Macaca mulatta: one gene and its partners. The protein of the gene in region 3 purifies or fractionates together with the protein of the main gene of each other region. This does not show direct contact. Links are inferred from orthologs where the notes say so. Each region holds a gene or a part of one and is shown on either strand. Other genes may lie near its edges. The genes, in order: RAB14, RAB7A, GDI1, RAB31, RAB24, RAB6A and RAB6B.

Evidence for each region.
Region 1: the proteins of GDI1 (region 3) and RAB14 purify together in Homo sapiens (affinity purification with mass spectrometry; 3 studies listed by BioGRID and IntAct, counting the BioPlex papers as one, with this or other methods). This does not show direct contact. The link is inferred for Macaca mulatta from reciprocal best matches to the Homo sapiens genes GDI1 and RAB14.
Region 2: the proteins of GDI1 (region 3) and RAB7A purify together in Homo sapiens (affinity purification with mass spectrometry; 4 studies listed by BioGRID and IntAct, counting the BioPlex papers as one, with this or other methods). This does not show direct contact. The link is inferred for Macaca mulatta from reciprocal best matches to the Homo sapiens genes GDI1 and RAB7A.
Region 4: the proteins of GDI1 (region 3) and RAB31 purify together in Homo sapiens (co-immunoprecipitation; 3 studies listed by BioGRID and IntAct, counting the BioPlex papers as one, with this or other methods). This does not show direct contact. The link is inferred for Macaca mulatta from reciprocal best matches to the Homo sapiens genes GDI1 and RAB31.
Region 5: the proteins of GDI1 (region 3) and RAB24 purify together in Homo sapiens (affinity purification with mass spectrometry; 3 studies listed by BioGRID and IntAct, counting the BioPlex papers as one, with this or other methods). This does not show direct contact. The link is inferred for Macaca mulatta from reciprocal best matches to the Homo sapiens genes GDI1 and RAB24.
Region 6: the proteins of GDI1 (region 3) and RAB6A purify together in Homo sapiens (affinity purification with mass spectrometry; 3 studies listed by BioGRID and IntAct, counting the BioPlex papers as one, with this or other methods). This does not show direct contact. The link is inferred for Macaca mulatta from reciprocal best matches to the Homo sapiens genes GDI1 and RAB6A.
Region 7: the proteins of GDI1 (region 3) and RAB6B purify together in Homo sapiens (co-immunoprecipitation; 3 studies listed by BioGRID and IntAct, counting the BioPlex papers as one, with this or other methods). This does not show direct contact. The link is inferred for Macaca mulatta from reciprocal best matches to the Homo sapiens genes GDI1 and RAB6B.

Annotation. Positions count from the first base shown.
Region 1 is NC_133420.1:36,999,545-37,004,346, reverse strand, and holds the start of RAB14 (ras-related protein Rab-14), read right to left. Parts: upstream 3,207-4,802; 5' UTR 3,021-3,206; intron 1-3,020.
Region 2 is NC_133407.1:155,150,555-155,154,673, forward strand, and holds part of RAB7A (ras-related protein Rab-7a), read right to left. Parts: intron 796-4,119; coding exon 577-795; intron 1-576.
Region 3 is NC_133426.1:160,625,185-160,627,988, reverse strand, and holds the end of GDI1 (rab GDP dissociation inhibitor alpha), read right to left. Parts: intron 2,547-2,804; coding exon 2,375-2,546; intron 2,059-2,374; coding exon 1,914-2,058; intron 1,796-1,913; coding exon 1,741-1,795; intron 1,651-1,740; coding exon 1,498-1,650; 3' UTR 701-1,497; downstream 1-700. UniProt on the Homo sapiens protein: Regulates the GDP/GTP exchange reaction of most Rab proteins by inhibiting the dissociation of GDP from them, and the subsequent binding of GTP to them. Promotes the dissociation of GDP-bound Rab proteins from the membrane and inhibits their activation.
Region 4 is NC_133423.1:80,777,158-80,781,276, reverse strand, and holds part of RAB31 (ras-related protein Rab-31), read right to left. Parts: intron 3,256-4,119; coding exon 3,184-3,255; intron 2,158-3,183; coding exon 2,051-2,157; intron 1-2,050. UniProt on the Homo sapiens protein: The small GTPases Rab are key regulators of intracellular membrane trafficking, from the formation of transport vesicles to their fusion with membranes.
Region 5 is NC_133411.1:186,278,082-186,282,861, forward strand, and holds RAB24 (ras-related protein Rab-24), read right to left. Parts: upstream 3,028-4,780; 5' UTR 2,719-3,027; exon of another isoform or gene 2,715-2,718; intron 2,629-2,714; 5' UTR 2,597-2,628; coding exon 2,480-2,596; intron 2,385-2,479; coding exon 2,316-2,384; intron 2,155-2,315; coding exon 2,076-2,154; intron 1,967-2,075; coding exon 1,899-1,966; intron 1,819-1,898; coding exon 1,719-1,818; intron 1,499-1,718; coding exon 1,448-1,498; intron 1,308-1,447; coding exon 1,245-1,307; intron 1,128-1,244; coding exon 1,063-1,127; 3' UTR 769-1,062; downstream 1-768. Other genes in the region: PRELID1 (PRELI domain-containing protein 1, mitochondrial), read left to right, coding at 3,288-3,379, 3,927-4,152.
Region 6 is NC_133419.1:74,102,315-74,106,433, forward strand, and holds part of RAB6A (ras-related protein Rab-6A), read right to left. Parts: intron 3,914-4,119; coding exon 3,860-3,913; intron 1,527-3,859; coding exon 1,421-1,526; intron 1,355-1,420; coding exon of another isoform or gene 1,249-1,354; intron 1-1,248. UniProt on the Homo sapiens protein: The small GTPases Rab are key regulators of intracellular membrane trafficking, from the formation of transport vesicles to their fusion with membranes.
Region 7 is NC_133407.1:36,936,558-36,941,380, forward strand, and holds the start of RAB6B (ras-related protein Rab-6B), read right to left. Parts: upstream 2,991-4,823; 5' UTR 2,809-2,990; coding exon 2,739-2,808; intron 1-2,738. UniProt on the Homo sapiens protein: The small GTPases Rab are key regulators of intracellular membrane trafficking, from the formation of transport vesicles to their fusion with membranes. Rabs cycle between active GTP-bound and inactive GDP-bound states.

The DNA of each region.
Region 1 (4,802 bases), on a different chromosome or scaffold from region 3:
TGTGGAAACATATCATTTCACCACGTGAAAACATACCATTTTTTACCACCATTTTCACCACTGTTAAGGTGAAAAATGTATTTTAAAATGGGGTATGCCATCTTGTAAAATTCTGCATATTTTTTTCACTCAACAAAATCAGACACATTTTCATGTCAGTACATTTAGATCTAAATGGTTACTGAACACATATTAAACACTAATTATTGTTGTGACAAAAATAGAATGCATGGTTTCTATTTACTGAATCGACACCTTTCTAAGATTACACAGACATATAAACGACTAGTTTTGAAACATGTAGGTACAGATGTGAAGGTATACACTACCAAACATACTGCTTGTGGAAATGTGCCAACATTTTGGAAAGTAATCAGTATATTTAAAAATCTTAACAATAATCCAAATCATCCTTTGGCTCAGATATCCACTTAGAAGTATCCTACATATACAAAAGCTTCAGTCCATAAGGCTACAGGTATTAGCGCATTTAATGTACCATTTTTACAGCAAAAAACTGGAAATAATCTATCAGCAAGGAAATGACTGAATAAAGTACATCTGTACTACAAAATAATATCCATCTAGTTTAGAAACCATTTTGATCGATATGCATTAACCTGGAAATACCTCCATGATTTTGCTAAGTGAAAAAACACGTTGCAGAGTTTTATGCGATAGCATACCCCACTTTCAAACACACACACACACTCAACCCTATATTCATATACGATGAAATACAAATCAAATTGTGAAAAATACACGGACAGGAGAAAAAGGGAAGAGAGAAAGTATTAACTTTTCTTTATAGATCCCTGCACTGACTTATTACAATGAATTAAAAATAAAATTTTCTCTACCAATAAATACGTGAAAAGCACTTTCTATGTAATTTTAATACAGGTTAAAGAATACCCAAACAAAAACAAACAAAACTCCCACTCATAACATTCCCAACATTATTTCCACATTTACTGATAATAAGGGGAACTTATGAAGCCAATAATACGATTGGCCTCAAAACAAAAAAAACCAACACTCAATAGTAGAGGGCATATTTTTGGTTTTTTTTTTTAAATAGCTGAACTACTTATTGTTTGCTCTGATTTTAAAACCTGTTATATAGCTATTCTACTCCTTAGAACCAACGATGTTACTGTATAACTTTTACATAGTTGATCCAAGACATAACAAGGGAAAAGCAACCCACTAAATATTCCAGGTGATTTAATTCTTATCCTTATTTCCATTGATAAGTTTTGTTTATTTGTTTGTTTAACATGCATGATGTTTTGTTAAAAATACCAGAGCTGAGATGGACTGCTTCTGTGATTCCAACATGAACGTATCTGTTAAGTATCTACTAAGCACAAAGCACTGTGCCAGGCTTTGGCAAGATAGCAATGATCAAAAAAGACAACACTGTCTCTGCCTTCGTGGAACTCAAGAACAGAAGCATTCTGACTTGCTCTAAAGGCCCACTAAAATGGACTACTACTACCTGATTTGTCAGTCACGTGGATAAAACTTCTGTAGTTAATCTAATAATCTAACCTAATAAAAACGAGTGGTCAATTTCCTCAACAATAGTACAAACAGCCCACCCACTTAAAAAAAATAAATCTAACTTTTGACAATATACTTAATGTCACTTTTATATAAATAATGATTTTAAAAAGCTGGATTGCTTAATGTGGCAAGAGAAGTAACTTTGATGATCTTCTATATACAGAAAATAAAGTATTCTAATACTGGACCTCTGTTCACAGAAAGAAAGCACTTAACACCCAAAAAGCAAAAAAAAAAAAAACCCTGCACTTATTGCTAAAGTTAAAAGGATTAATAGTGAAAATTTTACTAATGATACTGTGTCTGAGATTTGCTTCAAAATAATTTGGCAGGGAGGAGGCAAGTGTATATAGATGAAGCAAGACTGATCACTGTTGACACTGGCTGATAGGTATATGAATGCTCAGTATGCTACTTTATTTTGTATATATTTAAAATTGTCTAGATGAAGCTTCTTAAAAGTACAGTACCTCTAATGCTTCTATTTGTAAACTGCTGTCTTTAGCCATGCCTAGCATTTTTAACCACATAAAAATGTTTCAAGCCTTTTTTAAAAAAACATGAAACATCTCTCAATAGCCCGAGTTTTAACATTTTATTTACCTTAATCAAGTTTCCTCCACTAGCACAGTATCTTACTGTGACTATGCAAAGATATTTGACATTGATAAAAATGAACACTCCAAATTCTGTTGCAAAGTTGAAGTATGCAACAATGATAAAGTTTAACTGTAATACAAAAAAGCAACAACTTTTTAAAATGTAGCTTTAATTTCAAGGAATTTTTAAATAGCTATTATAATCTAAGGTTTTACGTCTTTACAATAACTGCCATTTATCGAGGGCCTAACACATGCCAGCTACTTTATAAACAAACTCTAATCCTAAAAACTCATTTTACAAATAAGGAAACCAAAGTGATCTACCCGTGGTCATAGTACTACTAAATGGAGAGCTAGAATTAAGGTCCAGGTTTAACTCTACATGTAGCTCTCCAAAGTTATGCTCCTCTCTCATTCATTCAAAAGATATTAAACACCCACTATGTGCCTAGCACTGTTACAGGCACTGATTTACTATATGCCAAGCAACGTGCTAAGGGCTTTCTTTAAACCCCATTTAATCCTAGCAACAACTCTAAGATGCAGGTTCAATTATCCCCTTTATAGATAAGGACACTGAGTCCGAAAGGTTAAGTAACTTGCTTAAGATCACTTAACTAGGAAGTGGCAGTAATGGAGGGGGAACCCTTGACAGTATGACTCCAAAACTCTTAACCACGACATACCTCTAGGCATGATCAAGTAAAACTGCCTAAACAGAACTTGGAAGAAAAAATTTGGAAAGGCTTGTGGGGAATAAAGGGGTGGGAGCTGGATTACTGCAAGGTCAAATTTATCCTCAACAATCAAATCTAAATAAAAGACAGCTGGTTCCTCTACAATATTTACCTTAGAAAAATATACGAATTTTTTAAAGGCAGTTGGGATAGTAACGAAATGAGCAGTAAACTTTGCAAGAGTTCAAATCTGGGCTCTGACACTTGCTGTGGGGTCACCAGGAAGGCACCTGTCCTCTCGGAACCCGTTTCTTCATACACGAAATTGAAATCCTGGCATCTCTCCTTTGGGGTTTGCGAGCATGAGGATTTGCCAGTGTAGTGGCTGACTTTATGGACTTTAGGTCATAAAGGGGTAATCAGCTGTCATCCAATGCGAACACAGTGAAAAAGGAATTATAACTACATTATAAATGGTCATGCCTGTAACCGTAGCCTAATTTTTGAGTGTAGTACAAAAACCACCAGCCACAGTGTGAGCCGAAGCCAGTTTGTAATATACCATCATCAGCCAGACACACATCACAACTGTAGGCCTCAGTTTCCTCACTTATAAAGTGGAGACAACTTACCTCCGAGGGCTACACGGGACAAGATAAACACGTACAAAGACACCTAAGTATGTACCTGGCCCACAGTTAAAACGCTTAAAACACTCCAGTTCTGTCGTCTTCTCTTAGATTCTAGAAATGCCACAACTTTCTCTTCATTGTTTCTAGATGCTCTGTAGCTTCAGGGCCATAGAGGCTGTCCACGCGTCTCATAGGAACGCACCAAAACCAGGACATCGCAAGCACAGGCGCACAGACCCCGTCCCTGGCCCGGCTGCAGGGCCAGACTCCCCACATCGACAAGGGCACCGGAGTTGCCCCGAGATGCCGAGGAGGCTGCGAAGAGCTGCCTTTGTACTCAGAGCCAGACGCGGCCTACGGGACGGGACCGCCACGTCTGGGGCTCGAGGGCTGCAGGGCGGCGCGGCACGCGTGGGTACACCCTGCGGGGGCGGGCTGCGGCCGCGGAGAACAGCGGCGAGAGGGGGGCCTGCGAGAGATGCGGTCCTGCCCAGCCGAGCCGAGAACGCGCGGAAGGCGAGGCCGGAACACACCCTTCCCTGCACGCCTCGGAGCGCCCCGCGGGGCGGGGTGGGCAGGAGGCTCAGGCAGGAGCCACGCAGGGGACACCTCCGCCCCCGCCCGGGAGTCCTGTCAGGCCGGCGCCGCGGCGCTCACCGCCGACCCCCGGGATCGCCGCGGCCTGACGGGGCCTGGCCCCTGGGGCGCCGCCCGCCTGCAGCCCTGTCTCCGCCGTCGCCACACCCGCCCCTCTGAAGAGCCCGGCGCGAGGAGGCATCAGCCGGCCGGACACTGCGGAAGGCCCGGGTTACCTGGGGGGTTGCTGGTGGCTGGGCAGCTTTCCGGGCGGGAGGGGGGCGTCAGGACGAGGAACAGGAGTGCGAACGCAGCGGGAGAGGGGGCGGGGGCGGTCGGCCGAGGCCCCGGCAAGTACGCGGGCAGGCCGAGAGGTGCAGACGCGCCGGCGGCAGTAGCGGCAGTACCGGTGGCAGCGGTGACTGCTCCTGCGGCTCCCTCAGGATCTTCCTCGGGCTGGTCCAAGATGGCGGCGCTCCCTGCACAGGGTTTCCTGTCACCCTCGCAATGGGCCGGACCACAAAAGAAGGGGGAGAAGATGCGCGCGCAGCTGGCGGAGCCCGGAAGAGGGTGGCCGAGGCCAACCCGTTAGCCACGCCCCTTCCTCAGCCCTCACCTCTGGACTCGTCGCGCCGCCGCTGAGGCCCGCCCCGCGGGCGCTCACGCCCGGAGGGAAGGTGGAAAGCGCGTATGCGCAAGCGCAGTCGCGTGTCCTCGTCTCTCGGGGGAGCTACTGCGCAGGTCTG
Region 2 (4,119 bases), on a different chromosome or scaffold from region 3:
CTGCTAGTGTGATGTCACCCATGCCACTCTCACATTCTCATTCCTTCCCCAACCCCTAGCCCATTTTCAGCCAAGAGATAAGGACTAAGTCACTTAGGAAGGGGAGGAAAAAAGATCCATGGTCAGAAATAAACGTAGTCGTAATTAATCAAAGAGTCTATGTTTCCAACAGAAATGATATTTGAAACTATAACTATAGTACAGCAATTTCACTCAAAGCCCAAAGCAATATTCTGCACACATGGAGATCCAAGCACGGCCTGGAGGTACTGGGAGGGCACTACTGAGAATGACAAAACTGAATTCCCTCCTTCAAAGTGCAGAAAGGGAACTGAAGTTGAGATAGCCAAGACAATGGCGTAAAGTCACAGCCAGCTGGGAGCAGGATGGGGACTTAACCCAGGTCACCTGGGTCCCAGTCCTTAAAGGCAGTTGGCCTGAAGGGCTGGCATAGGGTGATGAAGACTCCCACCAGCACCTCCTAGAGCCATGTGAGCTTAGCAGAGAACCCTCCAAATTCACAAGGCCCCTTGGGAGCAAGTGTCTGTGACAATATCTATCATCGTTGGTACTTACTTGTCTGTTTTCGAGGTCAATCTTGTTTCCCAACACAACAAAGGGGAAGTTTTCAGGATCTCGGGGACTGGCCTGGATGAGAAACTCATCTCTCCAGCTATCTAGGGTTTTGAATGTGTTGGGGGCAGTCACATCAAATACCAGAACACAGCAGTCTGCACCTCTGTAGAAGGCCACACCAAGAGACTGGAACCGTTCCTGTCCTGCTGTGTCCCATATCTGTGAGAGACAAAACATTTATTCCTCGGGAGAGTGCTAGGCAGAGCACAAGGAGCATGTATGCAGGGGATGCCAGAAGAAATGGGCTAGATTGTGAGGTCACCCACAAAGACAAATGACACCAGACTTCAGGAAGCAAATTTCAGCACCAGAGTATCCGAAACAATCCTCACAAATATTGTATGTAAGTATGTGTCTGTCTATAAGCAGGTGACACGAGTCCAATCTCCAGGGCGCTAGAAATTTCTTATATCTTGATCCAAGTAGTGGTCACATTTAGGTAAGTGTGTAAAATTTGAACTGTAAATAAAACTTAGGTACTCTGGGAACTTTCTGAGAGCAATGGAAATACAGGGAAGTGAGGTGATGACTCACAAATGATACAGTTCCATTTATGCATTTTACTGTATGAAAAGTTTGCCTAGCCAGGCACAGTGGCTAACCTGAGGTCAGGAGTTTGAGACCAGCCTGACCAACATGGAGAAACCCTGTCTCAACTAAAAATACAAAATTAGTCAGGCGTGGTGGTGCATGCCTGTAATCCCAGCTACTTGGGAGGCTGAGGCAGGAGAATCTCTCGAACCCAGGAGGCGAAGGTTGTGGTGAGCCGAGATCGTGCCACTACCCTCTAGCCTGAGGGACAAGAGCGAAACTCTGTCTCAAAAAAAGAGAGAAAAGTTAGCCTAAACAACAAAAAAGATTAGCATGTTATATTTCATTTGTATTATACCTCAATTAAAAAACAAATGAAAAACTCTTGACAGAAAGAGATCAAGAGAAAGACAATGAGAACACACACCAGATTAACTCCCAGGTACTACTGACCAGCTCTAAGCTGGTCACATCATTCACTGCCATGCTAGGTTTAAGAGCAAGGCTGGGTATATTTACTGCCCTAGATCCGTAACAGGCACTCAAACAGAGCCAGACAAACATGATAACTCAGATATAAGAATGAAGGGCAAAAAAGACAAATTTATCTCTCATGATTCCACTGCCTCTCAGCAGGTTAGGGCACTAAATGTTCCCTTCCCCAGATACAATAAACGAAGTCCACACATGTAGACTAAACAGGATCAGGGCTGCTGGTGGTACTCATTTATGTGCTCTCCTGGTTCTCCAATGTTCTACACTGAATATGTATGCATCTCTGTCAGTGGAGAAATGACCCCATTCTCAAACAAACAAACAAACAAACAAATATACGAACACTTGGCATCCTCCCACACAGGAAGGAGTTCATGTCTTGTTCTAGTTATTTGTGTGGAGAGGTTTTCTCCACACAAATAACTGACTGGAGACTGCACATGTGACACTCTCCACATTCTCCCACGTTCCTCCCCTTTACCCCGTCACGCACTAGGGCACTCTGGCAACAGCAGATGGGGTGACGTGGGAGAGCAGGTTCACTGGACTTTACAGCTGCCCAACAGATTTAGTGAACCATCCATTCCTGTTTTTAAGAAAATATTGTTGCCAATCTCCTGTAATTATAAACAACTCAGCAATGAACATTAGCATAGAGAGCTTTTTCTGTATTTCAAACGGCTTTTTTTCAGGAAGACTCCTACAAGCAGAATTACATAAGAACTCTGTTATTGTTAGGTGGAACCAATTCATCATCTGGAACTCATATACACAGAGAAGGCAAAGTAATACTTTCAAAAAGAAAAGTCAACAAGTTGATGGGTTCCTAGAAAGTTACCAAAATTAATTTAATTTTGAATTTACAAAAGTAAAGGCCATATTTATCAAAACATCAACAAGTACAGTCCTATGGCTGGCTGTGATCTTTAAATTTTTTAATATTTTAATTGAAATTGTTAACAGTGACCTAGGTTCTTGGAATCTTCCATGACAGAAATCAAGAGAGATCATCAGACACAATAGCAAAGAGAAAGTGAAAGTTTATTTAGCTTGTGCATAGTGAGCTAGCACTGCAAAAGGAAAGGGGCAGCTGTTCTCTGAAAGCAGTGTGGGAGTTAACTTTAAAGGGCCTTCCTATGGGGAGGGGTGATGTCAGGGTATGTATATAGGAGGGGTTTCTCTACCGCATGCACAGTGGCTAAACATGCTTCTTCAGAAATTGCGTGTAGCACTAGCAGGTTAAATCTCCACCCTGGGTGTGATTTTTAGCATTAAAATGAGGAAAAGGTAACTATAAGTTGAAGTCTAACTGCACATGCTGGGGGCCCCAGGGAGGTCCCTAGCCCCATGAAGCAGGAACTTATGATAACAGTTTCTTGGGATTTTTTTGCTGCTGATTGTCTGGAAGTTAGGTAAGCTACAGCTTGAGTAAGGGGCTTTTGTTCTTTTTCTCTAGACTACATCAAAACAGGAAACCAGCCAACCTGCTTGTCTCAAAATGGTTTGTTTTCTCCATTTAAAATTATACCCTTATAACTATCTACCCAATACTCTGATGTTACCAAAATTAACACTGTTATTTTAATCCATTTTTTCCAAGAATTAACCCTTCCCCCATTGCATTTTCTTCCTACTTTACCACAAGCAAATGCTCCTGAAGAGATACCTTACATAAATAGTATCATTCTGTACAGCTTTTTGCAACTTGTCTTTTTTCACTCCCAAAAGTTAACAGTTATATAATATTTCATTGCCTTAACGGACTACACTTAGTTTCCTAGATCATTTGAGTTACTTGCAGTTTTTCACTACTATCCATGCAATGCTGCAATGGTAACTCTCGTTACACCTCAGACGTCATGCCCAGACGTAAGTTTCTCTAGGCCATACACTCAGACTGTTGCTGCATAAGTGTATGTTCAACACTGGGGAACAGAGTGGCAGTTTCTACTGAAAAGGCTGTACTCATTACTACACTCCTACCATCAACCTGAGGCTGTTCAACTCCCTATATTCTAGCATCCACCAGGTTGCCTACTGCTTGGATATTATTAGGCATTAACATCTTTTTCACCTGCTTGTATGGTTTGTTTTTGTTAGTCTGGGAATCTTGTTATACAGATGTTTAATGTAATCTATTATCAATCTTCAACATTTTATGATTTGTACTTTTTTTCTTTTCTTTTTTTTTTTTTGAGACGGAGTCTTACTCTGTCGCCCAGGCTGGAGTGCAGTGGCGCGGTCTCGGCTCACTGCAAGCTCCGCCTCCCGGGTTTACGCCATTCTCCTGCCTCAGCCTCCCGAGTAGCTGGGACTACAGGCGCCCGCTACCTCGCCCGGCTAGTTTTTTGTATTTTTTAGTAGAGACGGGGTTTCACCGTGTTAGCCAGGATGGTCTTGATCTCCTGACCTCGTGATCCGCCCGTCTCGGCCTCCCAAAGTGCTGGGATTACAGGC
Region 3 (2,804 bases):
TCAGCTGACGCCCGCGCCGTGACGTCAGCCACCAGGAGACGCACGGATACCCCGCCCCTCCGCGCGCCAGCTGGCCCGGAGCGGAACCGCCGCCCGCCCCGCCCCACCCCGCCCCACCCCGCCGGAGACCGCCCCTTACCCTGCATGGACTCCCATCCCAGCCCCCACCGCCGGCTCCTGTGGACCCCGGAGGCTGAATCCCCCAGCCCCTCGCGCTGCCTCGACGTTAACCCGAGCCAAGGCTGGGCCCCTGGTCCCTCTAATTCCTCCTGTTGACCCCAAGGCTGGTCCCCGTGCTGCCTCCCTGCCTGAGGCCAGGCCCTGGTCCCCCGCATTAAGCCGAAAACTGGCACCCCTGTCCCCCTGCTTCACCCCATCCAAGGCTGGCCCCGGGTCCCCTCTGCCCTCTCAAGCCAGAGGCCAAGACCCCCGCTCCCTCTGCTTTCTCCACGTTGACACCCGCCCCCCACCGCACTCCCCCTGCATTGAGCACTGAGGGCTGCAGTCCTGGTGCCAGCATTAACTCACTGGTAGCCTTAAGCTTTAAGTCAGTTTGGCCCCAGCGTGCTCTGGGTGAGGAATTCCCTGACGACTGCCACCTTTTACAGTCCAGAGTGAAGCTAAGCCAGAGCCCCAACCCAGGCAGCCAAAGCCCTGCCAGGTACCCAGCTTTTGGGAGATAACCGTAAAGATCCAGAGGTTCAGGTTTCAACCGTTTTATTGGGAGGTTTTGTTTTCTGTGAAATACACTAGAGGGTGGGGAAGGGGACACATTCACTTTGCAAGATAAGGGTTTCCCACCACTAAAGGAAAGGTACGGGCAGGGCACACTGGGGTTTGGGTCCATTTTCCCACCTCCTTCTGCTTTGCTCACATTTTTCTCTCAGCAAGTACCACAGAACACAAACACAAAGACAAGAAACAAAACAGCAAATCAACCTCCAACGGGGCCACGCCCAAGCCTTCCCCACTGCCCCAGGCTGGGCAAGGGCTGGGAGGGGCTGGGGCAGCTCACTCTACAGCCCCCAGGCCACACGGGAAGGCTGCAGGCTCAGAAAGGGTGGGTCGAAGTTAATAAATTAGAATAAATTAGGGGGGAGGAATGCAACTTTGTGCTGGGAGGGCCCCTTCTCTCCAACACGCCAAGAGTTGGTGGGGGGAGGTGGGGGCATCTCCAAAGGCCACTACAGTGGGGGTAAGAGCGGTGGGGGCAGAAGTCACCTTTTCCTCCCCGTCTTCCCGAACAGAGCAGAAGAATTAGGGGTGGGGGGAAGAGACACACACAAGGAGAGGAACCCTCTTTTCCTAGGATAAGGAAGGGCCAAGAAAGAGGATGCTATCCAACCCCCCATCTCCCAAACCATCGCTAGGGTTAAGGATTTGGTCAGTGGATCAATGAGGTGGGTGATGGGAACGTGGTGGGGGAAGCAGAGGATGCTGGAGCCCTCTAGGAGAACAGACACAGGCTGGGGCAGCAGGGGCTGGGGGCGGCCACAATCACTGCTCAGCTTCTCCAAAGACGTCGTTCTGTTTACGCTTCATGTTCTCAAAGTCAAAGGCCATGCCAGCCATGCGTTTGTAGATGTCTTTGATGTCGTTGCAGGTTGTCTCAAAGTGTGTGGTGGCATCATAGGAGCAGGAACAGAATACCTGGAAACAGCCAAAGCCCAGCGCCCAGGGTGAGTCAGGCAGGTGCCCTGGGGGGGCGGCCAGGAGCCAGGGCTGGGACAAACTGCTTACCTGGCTCTCACAACCATCATCAATGGGCTCATACAAGTCACTGATAGCCACAAACCTGAGGGGCAGACAGAGGGGAGGGGACAGGCCTCACAACGGGCCATGCCCTTCCTGGTCCCTAAGCCCAGCTCCTGGGCTCCCTCCCTCTCCCTCTCGGGCTCGGCCCAGCCCCTCACTTCTGGTCAATGGGCTCCAACAGCTCCAGAGCCGGCTCCACCTCCTTTTCAGGGTCCGTGGTCTCCACAGTAGTGCTGGCGATGGCGATGTATTTGCCCTGGGCCGCCACGTTGTGTGCATAGGAGATCATGCACACGTAGATGTCTGGCCACAGGAAGAGCTCCGTCAACTCGGGCCAGAGGCGCTGGCCATACGCAGAGATGGGTTCCAGTGGCTGGACACAAGTCTGGCCCACCTGCCCCCTCCCCAGCCCCGCAAAGCAGGTAGCATCCAAGCCGCCACCCTCCCAGAGGGGAAGAGTCCAGGCCACCCAAACCCTAGGGGTCCAAGTTGTGGTGACTACAACGTGGGTCAAATTTTTTCCAGAGAGGTAAGGCAGGGAGCTCCGACACTGATGGGGAGAGAAAGGGTAACCCCAAAGAGAACACCCTAGAGGAAGTTGTACCAGCACCCGGCCTACCTGACTTCCTGTTGACCTGGTTCTGGGGGATGATTATTTGGCAGGAGTTGGCATCGTTGGTGTTCTTGATGGGGTGGCTAAGGATACAGATAATGCGGATAACCTGGCCAGCCTTCCGCACACGGTCCGGGATGTAGCTGGGGTCACAGATCAGCTGCTTGCAGCGGGCCACCTGAGAAGGCACCAGAAATCCTCGCCCGTCAGATCACTCCCTTAGGTAGTCTTGGGGCTGTGTTCACAGCAAAGGCAGGCAGCTCTGGCAGACAAGGCACTCCTCGGAGCCATCACTACTGCCCCTCCTGAATGCATGGCCCTGCCCTGCAGCTCACAGAGGTGGGCCCTGACCCATAGGCTGGGTGCCCGCCCCCGCCTCCCAGATGCCCCGTGATCAAGTACACTTTCTGCACTACAGACATGGCGTGTGGCCTCT
Region 4 (4,119 bases), on a different chromosome or scaffold from region 3:
GCTTCTTGTTGCCTGATTCAATAACACGTACCATCTAAAATAACTGTGTATAACAAAAGATATACATGCCACACTTTAAAACACAACTACAGGATCTCAAGGAGCCACATTCAGACCTCACTGAGGCCAAACAAGAGGAGAAAAGATATTACCAAGGAGGCTGGATGCATGGGACAGTGGCCCCATGACACTACCACTACAGGTAGCAGCTGGATGGCCCTGCATTTTCTCCCACTGGGATAGAGAGGCTGTAAGTTAATTCACAGTTGGAAGTGAGATGAATAGATTATGTTAGCTGGGGCACATTGAAAATTGCACATATAAGAATCAGCTGAGCACAAATCAGAACGCTCATCAAGAAGAATGCTGTACCTGTGCATAAAAGGTGAATTCCACCCCGAAACACAGCGTATCCTTGAGTGCTGGTAGCCACATCTATATGTCACAGATAAGTTTTGTCTGGCCAGGCTACACTTTTCTAGGAGCTATCCCTCTTCAAGACCACCTGCCTTCCCATTCTCATAGTAATGTTGGGAAATACCATCTCGTACTACCAATCCCCTCCTGGCCACACACGCCTGTTCTTAACGTGGGGAGTTCCTCCCTGGCATTTTAGACTGGAAATGAAGACAATGCCAGGCCAGCATCTCTCCAGAGACTAACTCTGGAACATGTCAAATGCCAGAGCTGAGGGCAGTTCTGTTTTTACCATGTGGATAACAGTACCTTCCAATAATTCCCCTTTCTCCTGAATTTCAATTGTGTTTTGGATCCACGTAACCAAGAATCCTAACTGATACTATGCAAGTTTAAATCGTTCTCTGCTTAAATTCTAGTCCATCAGCATTCCCACGATACACAAAACTTGGTTCCACTCAAAGGTGCACATTAGTCCCATAATTAGGGGGTTTTAGAGATAGCACCTTCTCTCAGCAAAGGTTGTCTCTACACACCCACCTCATCCTTCCCATGACCAAGGTTAAGGTGATTCTGCTGGGAACACTAGACAAGCAAGCTGTTTGAGGTTTACAGTAAAGGAGGTGGATATCTGAACTAAGTCTGGGAAGTCTGAAGATCTGTCCAAATCCCAGAAAAATAAACGATTAAGTGGTGTTTATGGCTGTTATTATAAACCAACCAGATGCAAGGTGATACAAACTTTTGAAATCCCAAAGAAACAGAACAATTTGTTAAATGCTATGTTAAGAGCTTTTGCAAGATCCATTTCCATCGACTATTTATTTCGCTTTGGTTTAATCACATTTTGATCAGCAAAACCAGAAGCATGATGTAGTTGTCTTTATAAAAATCAGCTACTAGAATTCCTGAGAATTAAATTAACCGAGAGAATGGAGATACCACAAATTCACTATTTCCTTTTTTAAACAATGTATTTATTTAGTAAAATAGCTAGCTTACCAGGCTAGGCAAAGCTATCATCAAATCTCTAATTCATGTGTACTGGATCCCCACAACCTCCTTTCAGATACGGGAAGTTCAATAACCCAGTACCACTGGGGGAAGTCAAGGTACTCACATACAATGTGTCATATTCTGATTTAAGAACAAAATAGTGAGATTACGTACTTGACTATATTCTTAAGGTAAAATCTAGAACTAAAACAAACAGGTATGCCATGAAAAATTTTAAGAATTCTAATGGTCATTACGATAGGGATGACCATTACCATAGTGTTACTAAAATTGTGCTAGTAGTCATAATGATAATAAAAATGGAAAAAGTAACAACAGAAATAATAAAACCGTTTAGCCCAGAGATATGTAGAGTCAGGGATGTAACTGTGTTATGTACAGGAATTATAATTTTAACATTTATCATTGTATGGTACACCAGAATTGCATTTCCCTATCATTTTCCCTTATTTCTTCTCTGGTTGAATCAATGACACATTGACTACCACAAGTGAAAGGCCATTAACTATTACACTGAGGGCAGACATAACAAAGGCATGATACCTTTGTACACTCAGGGATGACATTCAGGGATGGAGGATAATATCTACACAAAAGATATTAAAATGCGTCTTACCTAATATCTGAGAGGTCGCACTTGTTTCCAGCGATGGCCATTACAATGTTTTCCGGACCATGTTCTTTCAGCTCCTTGACCCATTTCTTCAAGGTATAAAATGAATCCTAAACCAACAGTATACACAAATCATTAGAAAAACCCCTCAATATAATATTTCAACCAAGCAGAAATACAAGCCCAGTACAATTTAATGGAGAAAAATATTTTTAGGAGACTCATGCAGATTAACATACTACCTCTGTCTAGGCACAAAAGTTAATGTTAGCTGAAATACACTTTAATAGACCATGTAAAGTTTTCTAAAATTAAAACTTGATCTAGTTAAGAAAATCGTATCAGTGATTCTTCTCCTATAAATAATGTTAATTTAAAATGATTGCCTGGACTCCGCATGAATAAGAATAACAGGACTAAGTAAATGCTCATGCTTACACCAAGAAAGAATCATATATCTCTAGAGTCCTGTCTTCCTGTTGGCCCTTCACTCACAATTGTCCTCTAGAAAACAGGTCAAAGGCAACACACCACATTTAGGTAGAAGTGGTCAGGAACTCGTGGAAGGTAACAGTGATGGGTCATTAAACTGATGGTCTTATGTGCTGAGTCAACACTCCAGAGAAAAAAAGCAAATAATTCAATTTGCAGGAGTGGGAAAAAATGTCATCAAACTACTGCAGTTATTTGTTGATGGAAGTCTAAAACCTTCAACATTATAACTAAAAATATATTATATGTACACAAACACACAAAGATTTACTTACACGCACACAAATGTTATGCTTGGCATTTTAAGTAAGTGGTATGATTGAAACACTAACAAAAATAAGTATTCTGTAATTATAAAGCATGCAGAAATTAAAAACGATTTTCCTTTTCTTTAAAAGCTGACATTCTGCAGAATAGTACTAGCAGGCATGACTTTGCCTCTACAGTCAATTTTAAGAATGAATGGTCATTGTTGTTTAATTTAGCAGATAAATATGGGATGCTTTGTTACATATACACGAAATAAACTCAATATATAGTGGCACGCTACTGGGAAGACGCAAGCAGTGACGTCTTTGCTTCAGTCTCTCTAAGAGAGAGAACCACCATAAATGACATCTAAATTCTGAAGGAGACAGTCTTACCTGCTTGGTAATATCATACACGATAACAGCTGCAGCTGAGCCTCGATAGTACATGGGAGCCAATGAATGAAACTGTTTAAGAACAATGAACAGTTTTAGGCCAAAGTGAACAGACTTTATTCAATCCCAAATTAAACATAAAAGTTTTATCCTACATCATCCCTATAGGATCCCTAAATTCCTCCCCCATCTAATTTTTCCAGGGTTCATGTTATTCTTTATTTTATTTTATTTTTTTGAGATGGAGTTTCACTCTTGTCACTCAGACTAGAGTGCAATGGCATAATCTTGGCTCACTGCAACCTCCACCTCCTGGGTTCAAGCGATTCTTGTGCCTTGACCTCCGGAGTAGCCAGGATTACAGGCATGCGCCACCACATCTGGATCATTTTTCTATTTTTATTAGAGACAGAGTTTCACCATGCTGGCCAGGCTGGTCTCAAACTCCTGACCTCAGGTGATCCACCTGCCTCGGCCTCCCAAAGTGCTGGTATTACAGGTTTAAGCCACTATGCCTAGCCCCAGGGTTCATATTAAATAAGACATTTTCCTCCTCATCAACACATATATATACTTGTGGCTTACTGACCATGAAATCTACTCTTGGGTAAAAGCCAAAAACAAATTTTATTTTAAATGTTACCATCTTGTGAATGTTCTTTTCTCTGCTGCTCATCATTTCTCCAATATGACTGACCGACCCAGGGCAATCTCATTAGAATTATGCAGCAGTAAAGGAAAGAAGTATGGCAAGGAGAGGGAAAGGGAACACTGGCAAAGATCACAGGACCCTTGCTGAGCCGTTAATGAAGACCAATCAGCAAGGGCAGCTTTGGCAGCAGCTGCCTCGGGTCTGGAGGGCTGCCACCTCTCCAACGTGGGGCTTCCTCACCTACCTAAGGTCCACAAATGACAAGACAGCAGAGGAGCTCCATT
Region 5 (4,780 bases), on a different chromosome or scaffold from region 3:
TGTAAGGCAAAGCCCCTGGCCTGCGGCCACACCCTCCATACCGGAAAGGGCTGCAATAAATTTCCTTATGGTTGAATAGCAAGTGTCAGCCCTGTTTACAATAACACCTGATTCCTCAGAAATATCTGGATCTTCAAGGCTTAAGACTGGGGAAAACTTGGAGCTTGCTTCCCTTTGTGACCTAGTCCTGAACTTCCTGCCCTTTCAGCAAAAAGTGCTTGGGAAGATTGGGAAAAACATTTAGTACTAGAATTACTCTTCACTTCACAATGCTTGGGCTGCACAGGAGTCACCTTATTTTACAGATGAGAAACTCAAGGTGAGAGTTTAAGTCTAAATTAGCAGCTGAATTGGAACCAAATCTGGATCCATTAGACCTTTCTGGCTTACAGAACTTAGAACTTTCCTACATTAAACCACACTGTAGGACGTCACTGGGAAGTTCAGAACCTGAGTCACAGGTCTGACATAGGGTCCCAAACATGACAGATGCAGTAGAGCCAGTCAGACCAACCTGTCTGAAGTAGGAATGCTTGACCCTTTTATTTTGAAGCAGCTCATGCACTCTTTTCAGCACTCAGAAGGAATTGTGAGCTTTGTACTACCCCAGCCCCAGTATCTCAGTAACCCTGGGGAGAAAAGTCTTGTTTTCCAAAGGAAAATGAGAGTTGGGAGGAGCCTTAACATAAGCAGTGAGGCCAGCCAGGTGGCCCCAGAAAGAACTAGGTGTCTTGACACCCAATCCACACAGCAGGGAAAGGGGCTGGGTGTGATTCACAGTGCATTCATTTTATTTACAGATCAGAAGCCACTTAAATAATCTGCAGACACAAGTGCTGTCCAGGGCAGAAGCCTGGGGTCCAAATCAGCCCTTATCCCTCCTCATGCCCACAGTCAGCCCAATGCTGTCTCCGTTCCATGGGCCAGCACAGGCAGGCGCCACCTCTGCTGACATGAGGACCTGGGGTAGCTCAGACATTTGACTACCCAAGCCCAGAAAGGAGCTGGGTCCAGCCCTTCTGGGGAATTCCTTTAATTCCCCCAGGCCAGGTGAGTGCTGACTCAGTGATGACAACAGCTGTAGAAGTAGGGGTTTGGCTTCTGGCCCAGATCCACGCCCTTGTCCTCTGTCAAAGAGAGAGGTGGCAGCTCAGCACCATTCTGTTGGGATCAGGTAACTCAGGAAAGGGGCAAGAGGCTGTGGGCCTAGAGTAAGTCTCCATAAAGGCTGGGGAAGCACACACCTGTCATCACCTGGAAGGCAGCCACACTGACGTAATCCTCTGCCACTTTCTGGAAGAGCTCGTCTGGCAGGAAAAATGATGATCAGTGAGGGCCCAATGCCAGTAGCCCTGGGATCTCCCAGTGACCCAGCCCTCTGTGCCCTATTCAGCTTCCTCTGGTGCTCCTGTGTGTTCCTGCTGTGAGGCCCCAGCACAGCACTCACCCACACTCTGGCCTGTCTTGCTGGATGTTTCAAAGAGCTGAGCTTTGATATCTGTAAAGAGAAGTGACTAAAGCCTCATACCTGAGAATTAGATAAACAGACAAAAGGGAGGGCTAGCAGTTCAGGCAGTCTCCTGGACCCCACAGTTCAAGGAGGCCAGGAAGACCTCCTAGAGCACCTTGCCCTGGCAGCCAAGGCAGTCCCTATTTTCTGTGATCCACCCAGACAGCCAAACACTCCCACCCCCCCCAAAGGGCTGAGGAGCAGCTACTGTCTGCATAGTCCTGGACGTCATGGAAGTCCACACGTCGACGCCTCCGGTCTTCTTCCAGCAGGTCACTCTTGGTGCCACAAAGGTAGATTTGGCAGCCCTGAGACAGAAGACAAGGGTCACCCCCACAGACCAACAGAACCCCAGCCCCTAGTCTTCTAGTGAGGTCTGTTCACCTACCTCCTCTAGGCTGCGCAGTTCCTTCACCCAGAACTTTGCTCGCTCAAAGCTGCTGCTGTCTGTGAGGTCTTGGTGTGCGGCATGCAGGAGACACAACCAACTGGTCAAGGGCTGTTCTCTGGCTAGCCTGGCACCCATCTCTTCTTGTGGGACAGGCCAGAACCCCCCCGCCCTTACCATAGCAAACGATGGCAGCCTTGGCACCCCGATAGTAGATTCTACTCATGGCCTCATAGCGCTCAGAGCCTGCTGTGTCCTAAAGAGTAAGGCTTGAGTCAAACTTAAGGCCATGTTCTCCAGAACCCGCAATTTCAGATAAGGAAACTGGTCTATGAGGCCACAAATCAACCAGTAATAGGAAGGACCTACACCTCCTCAGGAATGAGTCTCCCAAGAATAGATGCCCAGGGGACTTACCCAAATACCTAATGTCACAGTCCGGTCTCCGACCGACATCACCTTGGCCACGAAGGCGGCCCCGATGGTCTGCAACGAGAGGGAAGAGATCCGAGCCATAGGTGCAGATTACCGCCCCCCCCACCCCTCCGCCCACCGTGCCTGGCCCCTCCGGATGCACTTACGTTCTGATAGGGCCCCACCAGAAAGCGGTCGTGCACGTAGCGCTCCACCAGGCTTGTCTTGCCCACGTACTCCTTGCCCAGCATCACCACCTTGACGTCCACGCGCTGCCCGCTCATGCTCCTGGGGCCGCTTCAGCCACGTCAGGGTCCTGAGCGGGGACGGGAGGCAAACCCCGATCTCCGCTCGGCCCAGGCAGCGCCCAAGCCTCCGACCCCGACCCCAAACGGCGCCAACCTACGACTCGAGACAGCGCGTCGAGCTCGAGCTCTGGCCGTGGCCTTGCACTTCGGCAGCGCCCCGTGTGCCCCCGCTGTTCGGCTCCGGGCGCCGATTATCTTTCGAAGACCCCAAACCCCGGGGCGGCCTGGAAGCGCGCGGGACAGCGTCCTCAACAGCGCAGCACGCCGCCGTGCAGCTCGCTACTCCGTCATTCGCTCGCCTGCCCGGCTTAAGCTCCGTTCTGGCTGGGAATCCCAACCGAACCCGGGGTCTCCTGCAACCCGGCTCCTATCCGCAGCGCCGCGACTCCCGCGGGAGGGGGCGAGAGGGCGAGGGGGCGGGGCCGCAAGGTCACGTGGCGCGGGCGCCGGAAGCGGTTGCTACAGTGTGACTGCGCCGGAAGTAGCGCGCGGCCGGACAACTTATGGCGGCGGCGGCAGCAGCTGCTTGGGCGCGGTGCGGTGGTGATTGAGCTACGAGCCTGGCGGCGGGTGTGCGCCGAGCCCCGGCCCGGCCCGGCCCCCGCGTGCCTCCCAGGCTCCGCACCCCTGATGCTGCGCGGGTGCTGAGCCCGCTCCGGCCGGGACGATGGTGAAGTATTTCCTGGGCCAGAGCGTGCTCCGGAGTTCCTGGGACCAAGTATTCGCCGCCTTCTGGCAGCGGTACCCGAATCCCTATAGGTACGTGGTATTTGGAAGAGCAAAACTTCGCCATCTCGCTATTTGGAGATCGAAGTATGGGTAATCCCCAAGTAATGGGACCAGGAAGGACTCGACATCGAATCCTACGTAGACCTTATTGGGGAAGCGGCCAGGCCAGGCCTGCAAGGTCCTGAAGGGAGGTTGGGCCTGGGCGGTGGTTTGCTTGAGACTTTAGTATAAGATTCTTTTCTCAGTGTGGTGAGACAAGAAGAGGCGGCAGTATGGGAGTTGGGAGGGATCTTGGGATTGGAAATCCTGTTCCTCTTCCCATGGCGCTTTCCTGGGGTGTAATAAATCATGAGGTCCATTGCTGCTAGAAGGCAGGAATCCAGGTCAGTCAGATGGCGGGAGTTGGAATTTGCCCTGGGATGGGCCCTTGACTCTGGTCTGAACCATAGCACTTACCACCCTGCAAGGTTACAGGAAGGCGTGGCCTCTCTAGGCCCGGAGACTCCAAATGGGAATCCCCTCGGGCAGTCTCTTAGGGGCAGGCTCCTGAGGGTCACCTTCACCCTGACACCTGCAGCAAACATGTCTTGACGGAAGACATAGTACACCGGGAGGTGACCCCTGACCAGAAATTGCTGTCCCGGCGACTCCTGACCAAGACCAACAGGATGCCCCGCTGGGCCGAGCGACTGTTTCCTGCCAATGTTGCTCACTCGGTGTACATCCTGGAGGACTCTATTGTGGACCCACAGAATCAGACCATGACCACCTTCACCTGGAACATCAACCACGCCCGGCTGATGGTGAGACGCCTCCTGCTGTGATTCTGCACCTCCCCTTCTCCCCTCCCAGCCAGATAGCTCCTCAGATACATGTGGCTAGAGAGCCATAAGGGAGCTTTTGTGGTCTGAGGCAGGTCTGGGTTACTGAGGGTTGACAGCTGTAGAGTATGACCTCAGATTTTCTTCTTTTCAGCTGGTCATCCTCTCTGGACCTGTCTTTTGACTCATTCATACAGTAGGGGAGGGTACCTATCTTATTTCGTTGTCGCTCCCATCGGGTACAGGGCACAGATATGTGTTGGACTCACGGGAGTGATGCTGAGTGGGGGAGGGAGTGCTTTTCTTTGTTTCTTTTTTTTTTTCTGTTTTTTGTTTTTTTTTCTGGTGACAGAGTCTCACTCTGTCGCCCAGGTTGGAGTGCAGTGGCGTCATCTCACCTCAGTGCCACCGCCACCTCCCAGGCTCAAGCAATTCTCGTGCCTTAGCCTCTTGAGGAGCTGGGTTTACAGGCGCACACCACCACACCTGGCTAATTTTTGTATTTTTAGTACAGACGAGGTTTCACCATGTTGGCCAGGCTGGTCTGGAACTCCTGACCTCAAGTGATCCGCCCGCTGCAGCCTCCCAGGGTGCTAAGATTACGGGCGGG
Region 6 (4,119 bases), on a different chromosome or scaffold from region 3:
TCTAAAAAGAAAGTCCCAGATACTGGGCTGGGCACAATGGTTCATGCCTGTAATCCTAGCACTTTGGTTTTTGTTGTTGTTGTTGCTGAGATGGAGTTTTGCTCTTGTTGCCCAGGCTGGAGTGCAATGGCACGATCTCAGCTCACTGCAACCTCTGACTTCCAGGTTCAAGAGATTTTCCTGCCCCCGTCTCTCAAGTTGCTGCGATTACAGGCATGCGCCACCACATCTGGCTATTTTTGCATTTTCAGTAGAGATGGAGTTCCATCATGTTGGTCAGGCTGGTCTCAAACTCCTGACCTCAGGTGATCCACCTGCCTTGGCCGCCCAAAATGTGAGGATTTCCAGCGTAAGCCACTGTGCCTGGCCTAATCCTAGCACTTTGGAAGGCTGAGGCAGGAGGATCACTTGAGCCCAGGAGTTCAAGACTCTGGTTTTCCTATAAATTATGAACCACTATATGGAATAATGTTTAATATTGCCTAATATATGTCATAAACCAATTTACAAAGGCAATTTCAATCAGAAAGCATTTTACTGTCAGTCACCAATGCTTCATGGAAAATTTACAGTCACTTAAAAGGCCACAGGCATTATTCAATCTTTAGAAAAAAGAAAGACTACTGGTTGTTTCACCTCCTATTTAAAATTTTTTTCTTGGAGAGAAATGAAAGTGTAATTTGTTAGCAACAAAGTAAATAAATCAGTCACAGAACCAAAATATGATTCAAATAAAAAAGATTAATAGAAAACTATACATTATGTTTTCTCTGTCTTCCTCTACAGAGACAGAATGGCTGGAAGGGGAAAGCAGAGAAAAGCTGGCTAGCAGAAGCTTGTAATAGCCTCAATAGAAAGCTTGGAGAATTTGGAAAACTTGGCAAGAGACTTAAACACAGATTATTTTATTTTAGAGAAATCTGAGATCAAATTAAATTAAAAGGAGACATTCCTCCAACTATAATTATGGTATGGTTTAGGAATAACAGGATACTAAGAAACCCTTGAAAAGGATTCACAATTGGACCCAAAAGAAAATTTCTGGGGCAAAAAACCTGGCACAGTTAGATATAAAGCATACTGGTATAAACACCAAAGCAAATATTTCTGACCTGGCTGATATGTGATTTACTACGATAAAACTTATTTTTACATGCCAGTAAGGAAAACAAGCACAAGACAAGAACATGCATGCAGCTAAGCTAAAGGTTGAAAGAAGATTAGAAATGCATAATTCCCTCCACTCACTTGTGATATCATAAACAACAACTGCCACAGTGGAGTCACGAATGTAGCTAGGAATCAAGCTCCTGAACCGCTCTTGACCTGCTGTGTCCCATAACTGCAATCGTACCTAACAACAAAATCAGTCAAACAAGCAAGAAAAGTAAGAAAGGTCAACCCGTTGCAATATACCTACTTGTGATATCGTAAACTACTACAGCTGCAGCAGAATCACGGATGTAACTGGGAATGAGGCTACGGAAACGTTCCTGACCCGCAGTATCCCACAGCTGAAGCCTGATCTGTGAGATGGGAAAAAATAAATAAAAAAAAAAAAACAAACGAAACTAATACTAAAAAGAAAAAAAAATGTTTTTTTAAAAGGGAGAGGGTGGGAAGGAAGTAGAAAGAAGACTCATGCAAGAGGTTGCAGGGAGTGAGGAATGAAAATAATACAAAACTCCTTTTTCAAAAGGGAGAAATATTAAAATTTTGCGTACTCCGAAGGTAAATGACTGGAAAATGCCACTGGGAAAGGTTTCACAGAATCAGAAATATGGCTTCCCTTTTTCCCTACCTAAAACCTATTTTAATCCCTATGCCTTCCAGGGTCAAAAAGTAGACTGTTGATGGTTAAACAGAGAAAAAAAAAAAAAAAAAAAAAAACTAAGGTAAATGTCAATGAAAGGAACAGCCTAAGCTATCAGAGTAAAGGAATTAATGCTTCTTTGAAAGCTTCTCTTAAGCTAAAACGTGTCTCTTTCCTATTGGGTCTAGAATACTTTAAAACTGGGTCTTTAACTACTGTGCTTGTATTTGTCCCATACATTTCTCCCCAGAACACATGTGTGTGTGTGTAATGTAACAAAAAGGAGGAAGACCTTTTTGCAGCCCTACATAAAAATTTATCTACTATCTCATATCTATATTACAGGCGCGAGCGTGTGTGTGTGTAATGTAACAAAAAGGAGGGCCAGGCACAGTGGCTCACGCCTGTAATCCCAGCACTTTGGGAGGCCGAGGCAGGTGGATCACAAGGTCAAGAGATCGAGACCATCCTGGCCAACATGGTGAAACCCTGTCTCTATTAAAAATATAAAAATGAGCTGGGCGTGGTGGCGGGCACCTGTAGTCCCAGCTACCTGGGAGGCTGAGGCAGGAGAATGGCTTGAACCCGGGAGGCGGAGCTTGCAGTGAGCCGAGATCACAACATTGCACTCCAGCCTGGGCAACAGAGCGAGACGCCATCTCAGAAAAACAAAAAAAAAGGAGGAATACCTTTTTGCAGACCTACATAAAAATTTATTTACGTACTATCTCCTATCTATATTACAAGAAGAAAAGCCTGAAAACAAGCATCAAGTTCTTGCATCATGACAGAAAGTTGTTTCCAAGCTTTCAATTTTTTTTTTTTTTTTTGAGACAGAATCTCATTCTTGTTGCTCAGGCCGGAGTGCAGTGCTGTGAACTCGGCTCACTGCAACCTCTGCCTCCCGGGTTCAAATGATTCTCCTGCCTCAGCCTCCCGAGTAGCTAGGACTGTAGACACCCACCACCACGCCCGGCTAATTTTTGTACTTTTAGAAGAGATGGGGTTTCACCACGTTGGCCAGGCTAGTCTTAAACTCCTGACCTCAGGTGATTCGCCCACCTCGGCCTCCCAAAGTGCTGGGATTACAGGCGTGAGCCACCGCACCCGGCTGCTTACAAATTTTAAGAAATGACATGCTATATATTAAACCATAAAAGAGAATATTCAGGAAAAAAAAAAACACATAAGAAATAACACTGGAAATAAAATAATGTTTTTGGGTGCAGGTCTCAAAATACTGCATGTAAGATATTCACTATTTAGGTGACAAGAATCTCTTCAAGGGGTAGTGGGCTAGAATACAGATTTTACACTGTATTTAAAGAAAACATTCCAAAGGACGAAAGACAAGAAATCCAACAAATAAATACACATTACTTTTTTTTTTTTTTTTTTTGCAACGGAGTTTCACTCTTGCTGCCCAGGCTACAGTGCAATAGCACAATCTCGGCTCACTGCAACCTCCGCCTCCTGGGTTCAAGTGATTCTCCTGCCTCAGCCTCCCGAGTAGCTGGGATTATAGGCGCCTGCCACCACGCCTGGCTAATTTTTTGTATTTTTAACCGAGACGGGGTTTCATCATGTTGGCCAAGCTGGTCTCAAACTCCTGACCTCAGGTGATCCACCTGCTCCAGCCTCCCAAAGTGCTTGGATTACAGGTGTGAGCCACTGCACCCAGCTCACATTATTTCTTTTTAGTCAGTCACTTTGACATGCATCCTGTCCTGACAAAAAAATACTGAAGTTCACAAATTGAAATCTTATTGAATGCCTCAAGAGTGGTATTTAGAAGGTCTTTAGCAGCTTTAATTTCTTCATAAAAATTCTCCTTTAATTCTCTGTAAAGTTCTTTGTTTTCATTTTTCCAAATCAAGATAACTGCCAAGTACTACTCACTCAGTAATAAGAGTTTTTCTCAACAACTGTAAACTCTCTTTGGTAACTCTGCTAAGTACTTCTTATGGCGACAATCATTGATTATTTTGATCGCAGTTTTCTAACCTGGAATGTTGCAGAAAATTGCACACTGAAAATATTACTCACTGTTCGATCCTCCAAGTACATAGTTTTTGATAAAAAGTCAATGCCAATTGTTGCCTGTAAAACAAAACAAAGAAGTTAACAAATAATAACCGTTTAATGGTGGCCAGCAGTTTAGGATTCAAATGGGATTCATTAATTGTGGAAGAAATAATGAATAAACAAACCAATACAACATAGCCAATTAAGGACAAACAAAACTTCCAGTGATAACAGTTTCCACGTATTCAGCACTTGCTTAATATTAGAGACTGTTTTAAGCC
Region 7 (4,823 bases), on a different chromosome or scaffold from region 3:
CAAGCCCATGTTGCTCTGAAAGATTCTGCTGAGCTCAGCGGGCCCAAGTCCCCCATGTACAGAAGGTAAAGGAACTCTGAGGTCATATAAAAAGAGCCAGGGCCAGCATGAGGGCCAGCCCTCAGGAGGCTCTCTCCACTGCACAGGCTGCAGAGAATGCTGGCACAAATGACCAACAGATGCAAAACTGTGCAGGCAAGGTAGAAGAAGCGGCTGGGGAGGTGACTCCCCATCCCATAAGGCTTAGAGACGCACATGTCCCCTACCTAACTCAAAAGCTCTGTAAAACCTAAAACAACCCACTAACGATGCAACAAAGTGGAAACAGGAAACAGGCTATTCGGGGCCTTGGAACTCCCTGACAGAAGGCACCAGGTGAGATGCCAGTAGCCATCTCACTGACAGCAGTGATTCTCTAATGACCATGTTCCAAGGGCCCACAACCCTGCTCCTGACCAACTACTCAGCATTCCTATCAGTCACAGGCCCCAGCTATAAGCCTGGCCGTACAGAAGCAACCCAACTCCCTCTTGGGGAGGCTCCCCAGTTGTTGGCTTCCCCAATTCAAGGTCATCTTACTTCACAATGACACGCTAGTGAAAAATATTGGACTGGAAACGAGAGGTGAGGCTCCAGCCCAGAAGTATTAGCAACTCACAATGGGACTCTGGGACTCTGGGCAAGGCCTCCCTGTTCCCTGGGGCTCAGACTTCCCATTTGAACATGTGGGAGAGGTGGTGGGTTCATTTCTTAGACTTCAGCTATCATTTCTGTGCTTCTGGGAGCAAAGGGGGTCTGTGGAGCCCAGCAGGGGTCTCTGTTCATCAGGAATTCTGAGGGAGCCTAGAATGTTCCCTCAAATTCACCAGAGACACTTTATTCACCAAACTCCTAGTCCTTTCTAAAGCTTTTGCAGACTTAGAATAATCAAATGTTTGTTGAGAACCTACCAGGGTCCAGGCACTTTGAGAGGCACTAAGGAAACATGAAGAAGTAAAAGAATTGTCTTCAAGCAACCATTTTTCAGAGACAGAAAGTGAGTCACAGAGAGGCCTCAAATTTTACTAAAGGCAACACAGCTAAGAATTCAACTCCCAGGCTGCCTGATCCCCACAGGTTATCTCCCAGGGCTCCAGGCCCGGTGAGACTAGCACTGGGATGTGAATACCACCAAAATCCCTTCCAGACACAGGGAATGGTCAGCTCCATGAAACTGGGATCTACTAAAACAGGCAATCAGAATCCAAGGCAAATGCTGGCTGGCTGAGAGGATCTTCTGAAACACCCAACCTGGCCCCCAAACCCATCTCCATATTGGGCCTGGACACTACCTTCTAACGTCCTTCTCTGAATCATCCATCTCAGGCAATGAGCATCAGCAGACAGGGGCCAGTCACATGACCTCCATAACCCTCATGTACACACAGCACAGCAGCACTGTTCATGGCCCACCCAATCCTCCCACAGTTGCCTTTCTTTTGGACCCCCTTGTCAGAGAGGGTCTGCAGAGCCAGAGCTGGGGTCCTGCCCGACAAGGACAGCCTTCTGGGGTCCTGCTCGGCAAGGACAGCCTTCTCCCAGAGCAGAGCTGACCAGAGCTCAGTTTGTCTCCCTGCAGCCCCATTCGAGAGGCCTCTGGAAGGATGCTCCGAAAGCCACTCCTTCCTACAGGTGGCAGAGGGGTCCCTGCTCTTCAATCTGGGCTTCCCGCCTCGGGACCAAGCTGGTTTTCAGAGATGTTTTCCTGGGGAGGGAGCCAGGCAGCAGAGAAGCAGTCTCCCCCTCCCCCAGCTCTGGCCGGCTGCCACGGTGACCTCCCCTCCCCCAAGAAGGGCGGTGAGCTGGGAGGTGGGGGTGGGAAGAATCCACCGATGCTCTCAGGAGGAGTGCTGGGAAGCAAGGCAGGGCGTGTCGCCTGGGCCTTTCTCTGCCCAGAGCGAGACTTCACAGCCTCTCGGTGTGAGCTGCCCCTGTATCATTCCCCAAATCGCCTCGAGTTGGGGTAGCCTTCACTGTCATTGCCAAGACCCCTGAACAGCAAGGAGGCTACCGAGCGCTGGCGAAGGGCACCGGGTCTAGAACCTTCTGTGCCCAGTCGGACGTGAGATAGGGGAGGTAGGCGCCCCGTTCCCTCATGGCCTGCACTCGCTCTTTGGAACAGAGACAGGTGCCGGTCTTTTCTCCCCGGTGGCTATTTGTCCCAGCGCCTGGACGTGCCCTTTCGCATGGTTACCGGCAGAGTCCGCAGGGAACCCCCCTCCAGTGCAGCGGAGTGGGGGTCGGCCAGACCCCAGTTTCGCTTCGTTCTCCAAGGGGGGCGCCCGTCGCTCTCCCCACCCCCGGCAGCACCCAGCCACCTGCGCGGTCGCCCGCAGCCGGTGCCGCAGTGTGAGCTAGCCAGCGAGCCCGGGTCCTTCACGCCCTGGTCCGCGCGGCGGAGCCAGCCGCCGCCCTCCGAGCTCCCTGCGGCGCCGCACCTGCACCCGCACCCCGGGCCCCCCACCCAGAGCCCACCCTCACCTCCACCCCGGGCGCCAGCACCTCCTCCGTCCTCACCCTTGACCCCTCCCCAGTCCGACCCCGCCCGAGCCGGCCCCGACCTCCCCATCCCTGTCCCTCTCCTCTATCCTGACACGGAGAGGCCTTTCCGAGCCGCGGCCGGTGGTCCCAATGGGGTGGGCGCTTGGGCGACGGGGGTCGACTCGGCGACAAGCCAAGAGATTAAGCCGGGTACTTACCGCTCTGCTCCCCTAGGAACACCAACTTGAATTTTCTCAGTGGATTCCCAAAATCTCCCCCTGCGGACATGGTGGTGGCAGCCGGGGCCGGGAGAGGAGGAGGAAAAAGCGAAGGAGCAGGGAGGGGAGAGGAGGAGGGCGAGGGGAGGCGGCCGGCGGTGCGGGAGCCGGAGGGGGAAGGGCTGGCTGTGCGCGTCCCTGACTCCCCAGCTGCGTCCCGGCCCCGGCCTGCGGCTGCGTGTCCGGCGGCGGCGGAGGAGGAGGAGAGGGAGGAGTAGGCGGAGGAAGGCTGGGGCTGGGCTGCTGCGGGCGGCACTGGCTGCGGTGCGAGGGGCGCGCTCTTTACGCCCGAGGCGCGGCGTTGGGAGAGAGGCGCGGGCGGAGCGGGGCGCAGGGACGGCGCGCAGGGACGGCGCGCGGGGCGGAGGAGCGCTCTCTAGAGCCGCGCCAGTCGGCCCCCTCCCGCCTCCCTCCTCTGCCGGCGCCTGCGCTCTGCGCTCTCCCCAGCCTCTGATGTCATGCGGGGCCCGCGGCGCTGCGGGGCTGGGGGGCGTGCGCCCGCCCACCCGAGCCCGCACCCGGGCAGGAGAGAACCTCCTCGCTGTACCCCTGAGAGGCCCCCGGGTCGGACCGTCTCTCACTGCCCCGCTGCGTCTTTCTCACTCTACCCCTCTTTCGAATCCAGAAAATGACACGAAATTGTCAGGGGACTTTTGTTTCTGGTCTTTTAAACCTAGATGCCAGTCCCTTCCTCCACCTCGCGAGACACCGATGCACAGCGCAGTCGTCCGACAGGGCGGAAAGGAACGAAGGTGGGGGAGAGCCAGGGTGTGGCGAGGCGCTTCAGGGCGGGCAGACCTAGGGAAACCTGGCGTACTTGGCGCAGATGGAGCTCGACTCTTGCCCCGTGTGGCTTCTAGCCCGCCCTCCCCTCTTGAGGCCTAGACCGTTTATTTGGGCGGCCTCTTGTGGGGTCTGTGGGTGCCCCCGCAGACCTGGCCAGCGAGAGAAGAGCTGCCAATATAGGGCGCGCCTACCTCAAACCAGCTGTTCATTTGGATCATTTTATGCTAAATCATAACCTGCCCCATGGGAGAGAAGGAACGGTGACACTCTGAATGCCAGTGCCACTATCTCCAGGACAGTGCAGTGCCCTGCGTTTCTTGATCCTGGGGTCGCCAGGCTGACAACGCCACTCCCCACCCTGGCAATTACGTGTATCTGGACAATGAGCTCTCTGAGGACACGTGGGTGACCTCTCCTTGGCCTCTACTCGCCTGGTCCATCAAGGCACGCAGACCAAGCTGTGAGTGGGTAAGAGCAAAGAGCAGAAGCCAAGCGCTAGAAACACTCCCAGGACAGCCCGAGCCTAAGGCATGCTGGTTAATTGAGGTTTGACAAAGCTGCCCCTTACTCTTCTGCCACAGCGCGGTCTTGTTCGTTTATGGCTGTTCAGTGAGCATTTATTTGAGATAATAGTCTGCATGTTGGTGAACACGATGGTGTGTGCACGCATGTGTTATACAAAGAGAAAGAGGAGTGAGACACAACCTTCATCTCCAGATTTCTCGGACACTTGTTACCCACTTTTTGACTGATGGGGCTTGCTTGGGCAAGCCTGTCTGTCTCCCTGGTGTGCTCACCTCGAATCTCTCTTCTATTTCTTGTTAAAAACTTGCCCGCAAGTTCCATAAAAGCAGTCGTCCTGAGGACATAGCTCAGAGTTTAAGAAATAGTTGTTGAATGTTCCAATGAACATCTAGAACTCAAATCAAAATAACTCCTATTCTCATAATCACCTTTAGTTTGGAACGTCAAGGGTTGTAAGTCATCACCTAGAATATCTGCCCCATTGTGGCTGGCACCAGGCTCAGGGTAACCCTCCAGACGCCCACCCACTTCTTTGGGACTCCTGCTCTCTTAGGAGACCATATCCAGCTTAGGGCTGAAGAAAGCTCTAGAAGGAGAGGAGACTCCCAAGTCACAGCCTGTTCTGTCTCTGTAAGTGATCCCTCCAAAGAAGGGCCAGGGAGCTACTGGCCAAGGTACCCAGCCATGCAACACTCCTCCAACCTGCACCTTCTC